2 linked regions of the Arabidopsis thaliana genome follow. Changing the gene in region 1 together with any one later gene gives a genetic interaction. Each region holds a gene or a part of one and is shown on either strand. Other genes may lie near its edges. The genes, in order: ABI4 and UBP24.

Region 1 (7,208 bases):
ACCATGTTGGTATTAGACGTCGTCGCATCACCATTGTTTTCTCCAGCGGTTGTTACATTAGGATATGGTTCTTGGCGAACACCATCATTAGCCGTTATAGTGTTGTTGCTCATGTAAAATTGTGAGTTGTTAATGTTGATTCCTTCGTTTATTCCCAGCTCACTTCTCATGTAATCAAAAGGATCTTGGCTTGGTTGATTCATAGCCATTGTTGGATTATTGATCATGCTGTGATGTTGTAAAGGTTGGGAGACTGACCCAGCCAAACCTTGGGAAGTCATCATTTGGAGACGAAATGGATCCATTTCCAAATGAGGGTTTCCGTTGCTACTGCTTCCTTGATAAAGACGATAGCTTTTAGGGTTTGGATTTCCGTTCTCCATTTGTTGCGGTATTTCATATTTAGGTGGACTAGGTGGAAAAACCCATTCATCAAAAAAGTAATAACTTTTACTCTGCTTAAATATATCGGTGTTGATGAATCTTGTTGCTTCATCTGTCCTTCCAGCTCTTTTATTATCTTGACCGCCTCCTACAAAACCATCATTTGTGGTGGTTTTGAACTCTTCGACTTGTATTTCAAATGGAAACACTGGTGGATCGCGAAGAGGAGGAAATTGCATGAAAGCTAGTTTCTTCCTACAAAGTAGGATAGTATCTCTTGAGAAAGATAACAAGGCATACATCTCACTTTGGTTAAGATCAGCAATTTCACGACCGCTTTGGAGTTGCATCATCAGCTCATCAATGACATGCTCCTTGTTCTTCTTTTTACTCTTCTTCAATTGTTCTTGAAACTTATGTGTCTTCTCTTTTAGGTAGGATTCGACATTTGACTCTTTCTTCTTCTGCACGGACTTCGGTAAAGCGAAAAATTCGTCTAGGAGACCATGAGTCGCCTGAGGAGATGGCCACACCAATGGTCCAACCTTATCGGGGCTGAAAATGATTACAATAGCCCTTACAGCACACAATATGGTTAGCTCTTTCACCTTTTTAAGTAATCCTACCCTCATTTTTTGCAAACTTGTTGCTCTTGACTTGTCATTCTCGATCCATACAAGTTTTACTTTCTTTCTTGTCATGATCACTCTTCGATTTTTATTTCTCTCTTTTAAAATTTTAAATGTTGTTGAGCATATGAATGAAGATTAGCGCGGGAATCCGTTTAAATAGTGTTGAAAAGATGAGATTTTGGAAAATGATACTAGTCAAAAGATGTAAAATTAATTGCTACTTACTAAAAAATATTGAATGTCTATGGTAATGTTTTAGTTAAACCAAACCTTTTAGATCTAAACCAAGTTGAAAATATCAACTCAAAAACTAGAATTTTCCTATGTTTTGGTTATAAAGTTATTTTCAAATATCATAAATACCATAGAAAATTGACTAAAAATGAAACTTATTTTGCTAAAAAAGTAAAAGTTTAAGAACTGAATTCAAAGCTAATTAAAAATTTACCAAACTATATTGGATTTGGTTTTACATTGATTATTCTTTAAAAACAATACTAGTAAACAAAAACTAAAATCCAAATCAAACCATTAACATGTTAAAATCTTTATGTGGTTAATTGTACTATTACAGAAAATTGAAATAACTGAATTTCTGTCCAAATTTAGGTCCTAGTCAATATACCAAATTGATGATTTAATTAATTGTTCTGTCATTATTTAATGCTAATGATTATATTGACTAACATTATTTTCATTGTTGTGAATCATATTAATTCATAGTGTTAGATAATTATTTTGGAAACTAAATGTTGACTATACATTTTCTTCAGTGTAAGTATCATTTTCATATTTACATAGTATGAATTAAATATATATATATATGTATTACCATATGTATACATAAAAGTTGACTCTTGAATTCTTTATTTATAAATTGTTTTTTTTACTTCAGATGTTTTCTTGTTATTACATTGAGACTCTAAACTGAGAATTGTTTATAATTGTTTTATACAAAAAACTGAAACAACAATACTTTTAAGGGAAAAATATAAGAGAATAATATATTCTTAAAACTCTAATGGACATCTTGTATCTTTTTCTTTTTCTTTGTTTAGCGATCTTTTTTCTCTCATCGTTGTGTTGTTGTGGTTGAATGTTTTCTTTTGTGTACGTAGTAACTCTCTTTGTTTCTCGATTTTGTTTTTTTTGGATTCGGTTTGGTACTACTTTGCCAGATTTCAATAATACCAAGATATAGAGGAAAACAATAAAACTAAGCTTTATTCCACATTGTCTGGTGATCTTTCATAAACAACATTGTATGATTTGATTACCAAAATAATCGGTTCTAGAAAAGTTTATGTCAATCTCTATCTAGTATATGAATCACCATACCCATATTTGTGCACTTAAATTATTACGTAACCAAGATATAGAAAAGTGTTGTGATTTCATATAACAAATGAAAATATAATAATCTATTTTGTTGTGTTTTGTATATATAATTATTATAAATTAAATTAATTATTAATATTGAAATATTCATGTATAACCCAGTCAGATATGGGATTATTTTTAATTTAAATTTTGTATAATACTGTTAAAAGATTCGAAATATAATCATAAACAAAAAATAAAATTGATTTTTTCTTGTCAACTTCCAATAAACACCATAGTAAACAAGAAATCACAGGACAAGGGAAATACAGAAACGGAGAACTCTTTTTAGTCAAAGAAAGCTAGGATTCGGACAAAATCATGTCCAAACACTTTGAAGGATGATCGATACAAAAAATTGTAAACTTGAATATGAAGTGTTGGTGTGAGAATACCCAGCTCGAATAATGTAAATAATCTTCTCAACGACAACAATTATGCATCCAGTGATGAACACTTTTTGAAAACGTGTTTCTCTCCATAGTTTCTACATTGATGATTCCTATATTACTAAAACTTAATAGAGATATGTGTAAATATTCTCAGAGATAAACAAAATATAACTATATATAACCTCTGAAACTCGAACAACCAAACAGAAATTATCATATCCTATCAATAATTATATATTAAGGTAGGCACACTGTGAAGGAAGTGTTGAACCAATAAAATTCCCATACAACTTTCCACCATCTCCTCCGATTCTCTTCCACATATACATACTTTATTGGAACCGTAATCTCTTTTACGAATTCCTTGAAAATAAAAATCTTCAAAAAAATAATAAAAATACCCTCTTATTTATCTCTATAGGTAGTAAAAAAATCCTCCAAAATTTTGCATGCAGAGCTCCTCATAGAATGCAATCTCTTTGATTCCTCTCAACAATGAATCTCCAATGCTCTTGACCGACCTTAGGGATGCTCATCGTATATAATATGATCTTCCACAAAAACAAATTAATAGAATTCCCCCAAGATGGGATCAATAAAATCCCAAATACTCCCCCAATTATGACTATATTCTTCTTCTCCTCCAAAAGGCCAAATGGTCGAAGATCCATCTCCAACCATATAACCCGGATCCAGACCCATAGAACATACCGGATCAACCAACGGCGGTGGATGAGTTATTGATAGACTCGAACCCACCGAACCAGCTAGAGAGTTCAAATCCTCCATCGAACTATTATTATTACACCCACTTCCTCCTTGTTCCTGCCCTAACGCCACCTCATGATGAAACGAAGTCGAATTAGTTACCGGAACATCAGTGAGCTCGATGTCAGAAATCTTGTTATTGTTAGTATTAGAATGAAGATTCTGATACTGTTGGTGTTGGAATTGTCCCATCTGGACCATCTGATTTTGTTGTTGTTGTTGTTGAGGGAAAAAACCATAACTAGGGCATAACATAGAGGTCCCACCATTAAGGAAGATGTTGTTGTTAAAAGGGATACCGTACGGACCAAAGTTGGCTCCTCCTCCTACGGTGGCGGCGGCGGGGCGAGGGAGGAGAGGTCTTAGGGTTTGAGTGGAGGAAGAGGAGGTGGAAGGAGAAGAAGCGGCGGAGACGGAGGAGGAAGAGGAAGAGACGGAGGAAGGAGACGAAGGGGTTAAGTTGAGCTGAGCACGTGACCCGTATAGGTAAACGGCAGCCCGGTCGTAGGCACGTGCGGCGTCTTCGGCGGTTGCGAAAGTACCAAGCCACTTGCGAGTGCGCTTACGTGGCTCTCGGATCTCGGCGACCCATTTGCCCCAGCTTCTTTGTCGAACGCCACGGTAACGGAACTTGGAGTTGTCCGGACCACCTTTGCCTTTGCGTTTGCGTTGAGCGGAGGAAGTTGATGAGTCGGTGGTGGAATCGGATTGAGGATTATTATGGGTTAGGGTTTGGTTATTATCTTCCAGATGGTTGTGTTGATGTTGGGAAGCTAAAGGGTCCATAGATGAAGAAGAAGAAGAAGAAGAAGAGGAAGAGGAAGTAGAGAGAGAAAGAGAGAGATTAAAGAAATTGAGAAAAATAGTGGAGAGGACGAATCAAGAAGGAAGGGAAACTGAAGAGTGTTTGAATGTCATCGTTGTGAATGGTCGATTAGGGCGGTGCTTCTTTTATTTATACTTACACTCTCTTCTCACTCACTTCTTTTTTTCTTTTCTTTTTACTTACCCGTTTGTTTTCTACCAAAGAAGAAATTTGTGTTGTCATAAGTTACTTGTTACACATTGGAATGTAATCAAGGATATTATAAAAACATTTAATTGCTTTCTTTCTTTTGGGTAACTATAGCAAATCATGAGCGATATATAACAATATCTTGAAGTTGGTTCTTTTCTTTGATTGGATGGGTAATTGTGAGAAATACTCGCATGTTGAAAACACTCCAAGGCATTCAGATTTCAGAGGATTCAACCAGAGAGAACTGAATCAAATTCACCAAGGTTAGGAATATTGCAACATATATAAGAGAAATAAGCGTGTTCAAAAATATATATTAAGAGAAATAAGAAACGAATAATCTAAGATGGAACAGAGATATCATTTTTGTTTGTTTTTCTAAGTACTTGTCAATTTAAATTGTAACAAAAACATAGCAAAAGATAGGCAATTTAAAAGATTAAGAAGATCAAGTGAATAAAACAGTAGACAAAGATAACAAAGAAAATGATTTATGAGTTCAAGAATTAAAAGCATCGTTTAAAGTTGGCAAGCAATGAAACTAGAATAAATCATTACATAACGGCTAACGGGGGCTGATTAGCCATAAATTGTAGAGAATGAAACACTAATCAATGAATAATTACAAAGCGTGGCATGAATTACCCAATTTTGTTCAACTCTCTTGCAATTTAAGTGGTTAACAAGCATTAACAGATAAGTATACTAAAAAGGATCAAGGTAATTAATCTACCATTACCAACAACCCTAGTAAAAGATCTAAATGCATTTTTAATAGTGATCTTTATATTTTCCTCTATTTATAGAGGTGACTCTATTTTAAAGGCATTATGTTCAAATGGTCACCTCTAAAATAGAGTTTTCTCTATAATAGAGGAAGAAATAGAAATATTTACTTTTTGTCTCTATAAATAGAGATCTCTACAATTCATCTCTAATTTTTCTTCTATTTTTGAGGAAACTCTATTTTAGAGGTGACCATTGGAGCACAATGCTTCTAAAATAGAGGCACCTCTAAAATAGAGAAAATTATAGAGGTGACCATTGGAGATGGTCTAACCATATTCGCCCCTAATTTGGTTTTAATCTAACTTTTAGTGTTGAACTTAACCGAAGCTTCTATACTTGATGATTATGATCTTAGAGAAAAATTTAAGCTGTTGGGAAATCACCTTATGATACTATTTTTTTGATGTTTTATCTTTATACGTAAAATAAAATTGTAAACATAGATATAATTAAGGGATCGGAGGAAAAACATCTGGTACAACACGTATCATATTTTTGGACATAAGTAAAAACTAGAATCATATTTCTGGAGTAGTACTTGTTAAATTTTGGAGAAGAAAAATAAGTTGATTTGCGCACTCGGAGAGTGTTGCAGATCCATTGCCTGCTGCAGCCACTGGAGGGACAGAAATACAGATGCAGAGAGACACAGTAATTATTTTTCTGCTTTCATTACATAGATATATGTGTTCATTTAGTCCACTTAACACCATTCTTGGAAGACGACTTGGCTTCAGTCAAATACTTCGTCCGATAGATTTAGATTTTGGATACTACACCTTTTATTAATCTTAAAAAAGAATTATGTAGAAATTTAAAATACTCACATGTCAATGGATAAATAAATAAATATATTAAAAAGAGGAGTTATAGTGTAGATATTTATGTACGCTTCTTCTTTCTTTTTTTGTCATCATTTATGTATGCTTCGACTTTAAGAAATATTAAAAACAAAATATAACTGACATTTTTTATAAGAAAAGGAATTTTGAAAACAGAGAGAAGAGAAGAGAGTTTATTTTTTTGGTCGCCTAGAAAGACTAATCTACCGTATAGATTATGATGTTTGACCCACAAATATAACAAATGGAAGACCATTAACGTTTAGACTTTTTTCGAAATAAAAACTTGACTTCTTAGATCTTATACCATTGAAATTAAGAGACAAATTTTCTTAATATTCTTTTACTAAAAGTAAAAATAAATAAAATAAGAATTTGTTGAATTATCTATTGTTCTTATGAATGGTAGCATATACATGACTCCTTTTAATCTATAAAACATAACTCTTAGAACTATCGTCATAATAACAAGTTTACTTAGAAACTTTTCATTGATACTACTAATATAGAATTAAAGATTCGTCTGCAAGGGATTTACTTTTGTTGTTTGCCAACTACAAAACTATCAATTATTAAACGAAGAGAAAAATAGGAATATTGCATGGGAGAGATGAGGTGGCGAGGAAAGAAGCAAAGACAGCAAAAGAACCAAAGCTTTTTGTGTTGTGGTTTCTGAGATCTCAACCCAATTGCCTTGGAACTCTCACCTTTTTATGTCTCAGCAGAACCCAACTAGTTGCGCCATACATTCATTTTCTTGCATTTATCCACTTTATTATATAGTATCAATCAATATAGCTTGATTATTCCAATCTCAATCATTCACGTGAAATTTTGTATAACAATGACTCAAACATTTGATAACATTAAAGAGACATTGTTGAAGGCTTTTTTTTTAGTCAAATGATTTCCAGATGCTTAAGTTAAAATGATGACTATATCAAAAGGCAAAGAATTTCAATGCTTTGCTCACTAAGTTCTGCAACGGATCAAATATATGTTT
Region 2 (9,238 bases), on another chromosome or scaffold:
TAGAGGTATCAATGTATCATTGCATAACTTTCCCCTAACATACCAACAATTTTCTTGGTAAACATATCAATAGGCAGCCCACCAATCATATAGCTTCTCCACATGGACACTAGGAGTGATCTTCTATGGGTACAGGTCCATCCTTGCAACACTTTGCCTCCAATTTTTGTCCTTTTTAGTTTACGCCTTACCTCCAACTCTTCTCTTTTTTAGGACTCAGTTTACGCCTTGCCACTAATTCTTTTTTTTGTACTCTCATGTTTGTTCTGTTCACATTTGGAAATTGCTTTGGCGGCTTTTTTGGGTAATAATAGAACACAACTCCAACAAGAGCTGAATTTGACTCTAATAACAAAGAATCAAACCCCTTATTTCTGCATATCAGTGGCTAAGACCTAGAAATTAAGATTCTACTACAGTAACTTCCAAGAAATGCTAATTTGAGTCAGATTTAACATACATGAATCGATTGACTAAGCCAATTTCCAAAGAAAACTCAATGCATCAAGAGAAAGTAAGAAAAATCTGACATCGATGAAACAATCGTGAAAGAGGAGCCGGATGAGAGACGGCGCGATACTTAGTTTGGCCTTGTAGATTTCTCGGATTGCTTTACCAACGGTTACCTTCGCGTTAGGGCAAGTATCTCGATAGAAATAGTCTTGCAGAGGCCATTCATTGACTTTATCTTCGGAGATTGACACGTAAAGGGACTCATGGAAAGAGATTTTCTTGGGAACCAATTCGACGGTTCGATTTTCCGGTGAATCTGCGGTGGAACGGAGAACCCTCACGACGTCAAAACCGTAAAGCTCGACGCAAATGCTGAGCGCGATTACAAAGCAAGTAAGAAACGCGATTTTGTATTCTCCAAGATTTTTTATGCGATTACAAAGCAAGTAATAGCGATTTTGTATTATGATTATTGTAGTATTTATAGAATTTGTTTTGTTCTGTTTGGTTATATCAAATAATTTGTTCTGTCATGAGAGTGCGAGATCTTTATATACAGTTTTGATGAAGTTAATAGCAATGATAAAGATTCGAAGCGCCTCTCTTTATTTTCTTTCTTCAGTTAAATTAAAAGTTGTAGATTTGTTTTACTAAATTTAAAGGAATGTATTTTCTTGAATAACAGGGAGAATCCAAAGTAAGAAACATATCATTCACTTGGTACAATAAATACTTTTGAAGAAAATTGATATGTTTTGATAATTAAAATAGCTTGTCCCTTTGGTTCATCTTTGGATTTGTTTGTCGTTTACTTATCTATCAATAGTACATTAATTTCATAACATATAAGTTTCATGCATTGGCTGCCATGTAGTTGTAGTTACGAGGAAACATCTTCAGAATCTCTTAGAAAAATTCAAGTCTTTTGTCACATGAAACCAATTGGAAAAATCAAACTAATTAAGTCTCATCATAAAAGAAAGAAAAAAAAGAAGAAGATAACCTCGCATGCAACACAAACCCTTAAAACCTCCAAAGCCACTATATAAGACCCCTAAACAACTTCTCTTCAACCAAAAACTCAAAGATACTCTCACTAGATTCAAACTAAAATGGTGATCGGTTCTCGTGCTTTGATTGGTCTAACAATGATCCTTGTGATCTCAGGAACACTACCAGTTCCAGGGCAAGGAACGTGCCAAGGAGACATCGAAGGTCTGATGAAAGAATGCGCCGTCTACGTGCAGCGTCCAGGCCCAAAGGTAAACCCGTCCGAAGCGTGCTGCAGAGTGGTTAAGAGATCAGACATCCCTTGCGCATGTGGCCGTATCACAGCTTCGGTGCAACAAATGATAGACATGGATAAGGTTGTTCATGTCACTGCCTTTTGTGGGAAGCCTCTCGCTCATGGTACCAAGTGTGGAAGTAAGTCTATATATATATTAAGAAGTTTTCTTCTTTTATGATTTTAATCTTGTAAAAATTGAAGGTCTCGCTAGAGCTATGTTGTGATTGTTTGTATTTTGCAAAAAAAATATTACAAAACTTGTAAATCTTTGATACATTTTTTTGTATTAACATGATGATCGTAATGTTTTGATGTTCCTAATGTGGCAGGTTACGTTGTGCCATGAGATTTGGGACCAGAACTTGAGAGCTAAGGGTTTGAAATGTACTCTTGTAATCTCTAATATGTTGAATGAAATAAATTTATTTTCCTTGTTTAAGATTCGAAAGAGGAAAACTTTATCACTAAACCATGATTTTGAGTAAACAACCAGATTTCTAAACCATGATTTAGATTAATTAACCGGCTCTCTAAACTATGATCTAGAATAATTAACTGGATCACTAACCAAGGATCCAGAGTACTTATTGAATCTCTAAATTCCATGATCTAGAATAAAAACCGAATCTTTAAACCAGTTTGTCATTTCATCGCCTTCTACTTGATTGATTGAACCATGAAAAGGAAGATTAGGCCAATGATAAGAAGACATGTAGCATAAGACATGAATTTTCGAATAATAAGTCTATGAAGTAGTAAAATCAGATTAAAACACCCATCTCAAGGAATCATAACAAAACTTCCAGTGTAAACCAGGTACTCTAAAACTATTTACCTACTGAGACCCCCTCCTTCAAAGTTATATAAGATGAGAACCAGATTATAGCATCGTGACTTAAACTCAGAAGACCGGACACAAGCCGATAAAGAGTTTACTCTTCTTTCTCCGACCATGGAAATCTGCTGCCTTTGAATCTCTTACACTTGCTTGTAGAAGAGGACATAGGCTTGATCGTGCAACACCAGTTTTGTCCCTATGGGGGTCACAGAGGCATCATCAAACCTTAGCCATTGACCATTCTTTCGTCGAGCATCTGTGGTGTAGTGTCCTTTTGAGGGATCCCATCCGTGGTGGGTAATTGTTGCCACAAGTTCATATCTCAAACTCTACAAGAAGAAATTTGACTAGTTCACAACAGAGGGATATCACATAGAGAGTAAGAGAAATGTGAAACATAGACAGTTCTGCTTCGGCTTTATACCTCATTGGATAGAGAAACAAGATGGCTGCGGTTTAAGTTGAGTTCAAGGGGAAATTTAACGCCTTTACGCAGCTTAGTACTCCCTTGGCTTCCGTAGCTAAAACGCATTAGGTGCAGTATCATTATCTTTGAGAGTTTCTGTATCTTTATCGACTTACTAGCACTCACTACACCAGTCTGAAATGAGAGAATCCAAACAAGTAACGAGGCAAATTATTATTTGAAATCCATAAGAAATATTTTGGGTCCTAAAATCCCACAGCTTCAATATAGTAAAAAGAGAAATAGTTTACCTTCCCAGTAACCGAGGCTCTATATCCTTCAAGATCTTCTTGGGCAGAAAACAAATGCAACGCGTCTTCTATTCCTTGCACACCGTCCGGATGAATATCAAGGTGTAGCAAGAGATACGGCTGTACAGTAGCCGAAGCTTTAGTTCCTGTACCATAAATGACATATGAGAAAATTCTATCATGAAAGAAATTTAGAATGATTACAAAAAATACAAATACCTTTTGCCTTCACTACGCTTTTAAGCTGCCCGCCAAATATCTCACTAAGCTCAGACGGAACAAAACTTTGTGTTCTTGTCACAGCTGATTTGTTTTTGGGTCCAACTGTTTCCCATTCATCACCATCATCGTTGGCAGAAGAAATAACCGATGACTTAGAAGCGGTGACTTTGGGGGACTGTTCCTTGAGTTTCAACAACTCATCATGCATTTGGTCCATTATAAAACTCAAAAACTCTTGAGCATCTTCCTGCCTGCCAGTACATGCACACAAAGTTAGAATAGGGACATACATATGAACTATTTAAAACAGAGGAACCATCAAAATTTAGACTGTGTAAGGGAGTCACTAACCTTGGCCTACCAGACATGTTGTTGAGTACATCTGGGGTAAAATTTCTAAGGACTCCTTCGAACATGGCAGGTCTAAAAGGTCTACCAGCCTCAACAACAGTAACGTTATTTCTGATGCTGGAACTGCTTGGCACATCCAATTCGGAGATGAACTCGGAAAATGCAGCTAAGGTTGGAGAGTCAGCCTGATAAAAAAGAAAATGGAAGAATATCGATAAGAAAACAAATATTATAGGAAATAGAACCAAAATCACAAAAGGAACAATGTACGTTAAAAACCTTTGGAATATCTTGGAGTTGAATTTTCTGGAGGAGCTGCACAAAAGGAGAACATGAAAGCAACGCTTGTAGTGTTGCATTCAGGAAGCACAAGTTTCCAGCGTTTATTAATCCTCTTGGTGTAAAGTCTTTAACAGGTGGAACAGATTCAGTAGGAACCTTCAGGTTTTTCTTTCTTTGAATGCTTCCAGACGAAGAGTCACTTGAGAAATCTTCATTGTCCAGCGCTTGAAATTTAGAGCTCGAAGCTTTATACACAGGATCACTTTCACCATCAGACATAGACAAGTTATCCAAACCAATAGGATCTGTTTTCACCGCCACACCATTGTTGAGAGATTTGTTGCTTTCAGAGATCTCTTTTATGATTCCATTTTGTACCACATGCTCTGGAACTCTCAAAGAGTTCTTTCTTGGGAGTTTTGCATCACTATCATTGTTCTTATCCGAGCTGGCAGGTCTAGAAGCATCAAGTCTCTCTTGAGACCCAGCAGATTTAACTGTCCCATCAGCCTCACCTTTCTTCAACTCGCCATTAGTATTTACTGAAGAATTTTCCGCAGCAAGATTCAAGGAGCCAAATTGAATACTTCCCACACACTTGTCTTTAGAATTCTGAGGATCCTTAGTGGGTTTCTGCTCAAAAAATGACCTAGTTTCATGTTCTGTAAAGGATCCAAACACAAATACCTGCCATGAATAAAAGTAGAATAGCAAATGTAAGTTTCAAAGGAGAATCATTTACAGAACAATTAAGAAACCAAATGATAATGAAAGTTAAGTCTCTCGGATATACATTGACCTCAGAGAAAAACTACAAAATGATCAAAACGAAGCTATAAAAAGATACTATCTCCATGAAACTAAACCACCTAAAACTAGTCTCTATTGCAATTGGGTGACCTCTGCATCGTTCTCTAGACCATGAGAACTAAACCTTAAGGGAAACAAAATAAGTGAAGAAACTCAAGAGGCAAACAACAAGTAGTAGGAAATTACCTTCTTTTCACTCATATTTGGCACATAGAACGCAACGGAGAAGAGATTGAAGAGCAGCACAACAACAACAAGAGCCCAAAAGACGTAATCTGATTCAGAGAGAGATCCGAAACGAAAGAAGCATGAGAAATCTCAAAAGCGAAATCAAAAACTAGGGTTTGATGCACCAACAACCCTGGATGAGAGTCGTAGACTTGAGAAGACATGAAAGGGGTAGAGAGACGGAGGAAGAAGAAAGAGAGGATTTGTTCTTCTCTGCAAATTCGTAATGGGTAATCATCCGAATTTGGAGGAGAGCTAAGTTAGAGAGATAGATAGAGAGAGAGACGGACCTTTCGGGGATTTTGAGAAAAGGAAATTAGGGTTAGGTTTCTGCTTCTGTCTTTTGTCGGATAGTTTTGAGGAGGAGAACGGAGCTTAGCTTAGCGCCGTGTTTGGATCTTCTTCGTCTCCTTTTTCGTCAAAGGCGTCGTCGTATCTTTACAAATATAAATCTCGGTTCGGTTTTGTATTCACTTTGGTTTAATTCGGTTATTCAACAAAACTATCTCAAACAGTTGTTGTTACTCCTGTTTGGTCTGAACGGTTATTAAAAACTCACGTGTCTGTAGGGGTTCCATGTCTCGGGTTCGAAGCTTGTCTGAAATTAATTTTAAACCTTAAAAAAATCTAGAGAGAGACCAAAAAGCCGACGATTAGTCCACCGTGACTCCACCGGTCCCTCCACCGTGACTTCACCGGTCCCTCCTCCGATTAGTTACTCTTCTTCTTCTTCTTCCCCCGTTTCCGATTTGATTTGTTTCTGAAGTTGCTGATTTATACATGTATCAGGAAATGGCTTTAAGAGACTTTTGGTGATCAAAGGGCATGACTTTCACAGATTTTCCAGCAAAAGTCGTCAAATGTCCAAGACTCATTTTCTCCACTGTTGTTGTTGATAAGAGTCTGAAACAACAAGGTTCGTATTGGATTCCTCAATAATATAATATAATAAATTATGTTGATTGATTTTCTTTCTTCGAATCCTGAGCTGTTTTTTCACATAAAAATTGATAAGCTTTTGACTTATTATTGAAAATCATGTAGGTCACGACGACGATGAGCTGCTGCTGATGTGAGAGAGACCTTTGTTTTTATTCGTCTTACCAAACCATAAAGAAAGAAGAGAGAAAACTAGAGGAAGAAGAAGAAGAAGAAAGGAGACAAAACAATGAGTGTGTCTTTGAGTGTGATGTCATTCAATCTTCACGATGATCTACCTGAAGAAAGCCCTAATTCATGGCTCAAAAGGAAAGATTTGTGTCTCACTGTCATCACTAGTTACTCCCCCATTGTTCTCTGTACCCAACAAGGTAATAATCTTTAGCCACAATGGATCAATGCTTGTTAGATCTTTGATTCCTTCTTCGTATTGGTGATTCAATGCTTGTTAGATCTTGCTTCCTTCTTTATATTGGTTCTCCAAGAAGGCTTCTTTTTCCTGAATGCTGGAGATTGATTCTTGTGCTTTTTCTTGCCTTCTGAAATATTGAACAGAGATAGGATTTTCGTTTTGATCTTTTGTTATCATGTTTACATTGGTTAGGTGTGAAGTCGCAGTTGGATTATCTTCAGCAGGGGTTGCCAGGTATAATTGAATTCTCTTTGATTTATGGAAGTCTAATCTCTACTTAAATGGTGTGAGTTAGGTCTAATTGAACCCTGTTTGTATACAGCAGTCTGCTTCTTCTTAAGTTCACAGACTAGTGTGAATCTTGTTATCAATCGTAGACCACTCTTCTTGTTCTCAATCTACTATGTAAATCTATTTGTGATCTACTAGATTTAATTCTATTTTTAGTATATGTTGGTATTGCTTAAATCTGATAGCCAATTTGTCAATCCGTATCCTTTTTTGCATCAAGTTCAAGTTAGTGTTTTTAGGCTACAAAAGCCGGAGTCTAGTGCACTTAATGCATCTGTTTTATGGCAATGGAATGCATGATATTCTCACATTTACAGGTGCTTTCTTTGAAATGATGGTGGTATTGTTTATCTGGTTTTTGTTACTGTGAACCATGGAGCTTAGCTTCTAGTTTCACATGCCTTAATAATACTTCAGTTTGCATTGTTTCTTTGAACTTAAATAGATGGTAGTACTCTTTGCTTGCAGCCTATGATCAATTTGGCATATCAAGAACAGGACCTGGGGATGCTAATGATGAACACTGCACCATCTTCTTCAACAAGGAAAAAGTATTAATTCGGTTGATAAGACAATACATAACTACGCTCTAAATAATTAATACGCTGCTTGATACTATACTTTATACTAATTGAAGGTAGAGCTGCTAGAGGGTGGAACTTTTTGGTTGTCAGAGTCTCCCTCGGTCCCTGGAAGCACGGCATGGGGTTCCGCAGTTCCTTGTATAGCGACATGGGCTATATCCTTTTTACTAGTTGGGTTCATTTTAGTTAAACTATAATTAGATTAGTTTATGATTTTGGTGTTTTTGTCCTATATATCAGTATTTTGGTTTTCTTTGACAAGCTGCCTACACATTCCAACTTAAAGGAGCGGAGCCGCCTGGTTTTTCGTTTCAGATAGTCAACACAAACTTGGATGAAATCAGCCCTCGTGCCCGTAGGCGAAGTGCTTTACTCACATGGCAACACATAGCATCATTACCTCCCACTTTGCCGGTTGTGTACTGTGGAGGATTCAACACACAGAAGGAATCAACAACAGGGCGGTTTCTGTTGGGCAGATCTAGGTACCTTAATATCACATTCACAAGTTTTGTGCTTTTTACCAATCTCCTAGAGTTTTCTTTCAGGGCTCCTAGTTAATGCAAGAATGGCTAAACCATTCTTCACACACTGATCAACTAGTTTCAAATCAAAGCATATTTACTTATTTGACTGCTGATGAATGGCTTTTGGGCATCATTCAACTTGCAGAGAGCATGGTGTGGTAGGAGATATGAGAGACGCATGGCCAAGTGCCCGAGTAAGAAAAAACGTCGCTCTCATAAGAACATACCATGATTTCAAAGGTGTGAAACATTCCACCCTCTCATGAGCTATAAAAATCATTTATCTCCAAAGCTTCTAGATCATAACATGTTGGGCCTTTGTTCAGGTGACAAGCAGGGAACGGTCGAGTTCCTGAAGCTGATATTCAGAGCGTTATGCCTCTGCTGGGACCGACAGACGCAAGATCTACACACGGATTGGATACTTTACAGAGGTAGATCTATAGTTCCTGTAATGTGCGAGATCGTAAATGATAAGATTGACGACTTGTATCCTTCATCTCACTACCCTGTGTTTGCTGAGTTTATGCTTCCTCGTTCTGTAAGAATGCTTGAACCTACTCCTCCTGTTTCTGCTCCTGCTCAAGAGGAAAGCTAGAACACATGTCCTCACTTGCTTAAGCTTTGGACTATACTGATTGTTGTGCAAATGAGCTCTGTTTTTTTCTCGGCGCCTTTATTTATTGATTTGAGCTAAAACATATTCAAAAGAGATTTAAATAAATTGTTTTGTTTGCTCCTAATAGTTTGTGTTATTATTGATGACCACTGAAACATAAGATTGACGACTTGTATCCTTCATCTTGTGCTCCTAATAGTTTGTGTTATTAGGTAAGTGATGTTACGGAACACAAGAATATCTACAAATAGTCAAATACTTTCAAATGGGTAACTCGTCATATTCAAGCGTCACACTTCACAGTTCACACAAGCAAATAAAAACCCTTTTACCTACATTAAAACCTCTGAGAATGTTAAATAAGAACTGGGAGCACAAAGATCACCTGCCTACATCTTAAGAAGAATTGTTCTGTACCCACTCAACAAGTGTCGCAACTCCAAACCCAGTCGCAGCTTTCTTCTTCTCGTTCCACACCCGTCCAGCCATATCTATGTGCAACCACTCAACATTCTCGCTAACAAACTGCAACCATTAACCAAATCCGGTTCTTCGTTAGAGAACAATAGAATCAGTATTGAAGTGTGTTTTTTTGTTTCCACTCTTATGGTATCCTCACCCGTTTCAAAAAGAGAGCTGCGGTGATGGATCCACCTGCACGGCCTCCAAAGTTAACC

Evidence for each region.
Region 2: changes in ABI4 (region 1) and UBP24 impair growth when combined (synthetic growth defect), as found in Arabidopsis thaliana (one study listed by BioGRID).

Annotation. Positions count from the first base shown.
Region 1 is NC_003071.7:16,793,244-16,800,451, forward strand, and holds ABI4 (Integrase-type DNA-binding superfamily protein), read right to left. Parts: upstream 4,343-7,208; coding exon 3,356-4,342; 3' UTR 3,004-3,355; downstream 1-3,003. Other genes in the region: AGL48 (AGAMOUS-like 48), read right to left, coding at 1-1,085.
Region 2 is NC_003075.7:15,033,664-15,042,901, forward strand, and holds UBP24 (ubiquitin-specific protease 24), read right to left. Parts: upstream 5,755-9,238; 5' UTR 5,163-5,754; coding exon 5,148-5,162; intron 4,839-5,147; coding exon 4,149-4,838; intron 4,055-4,148; coding exon 3,870-4,054; intron 3,770-3,869; coding exon 3,516-3,769; intron 3,443-3,515; coding exon 3,297-3,442; intron 3,181-3,296; coding exon 3,004-3,180; intron 2,909-3,003; coding exon 2,720-2,908; 3' UTR 2,357-2,719; downstream 1-2,356. Other genes in the region: AT4G30880 (Bifunctional inhibitor/lipid-transfer protein/seed storage 2S albumin superfamily protein), read left to right, coding at 1,566-1,878, 2,071-2,087; AT4G30900 (DNAse I-like superfamily protein), read left to right, coding at 6,358-6,499, 6,733-6,774, 7,300-7,382, 7,469-7,570, 7,686-7,900, 8,088-8,182, 8,269-8,540; AT4G30910 (Cytosol aminopeptidase family protein), read right to left, coding at 8,958-9,086, 9,181-9,238. UniProt on the Arabidopsis thaliana protein: Recognizes and hydrolyzes the peptide bond at the C-terminal Gly of ubiquitin. Involved in the processing of poly-ubiquitin precursors as well as that of ubiquitinated proteins.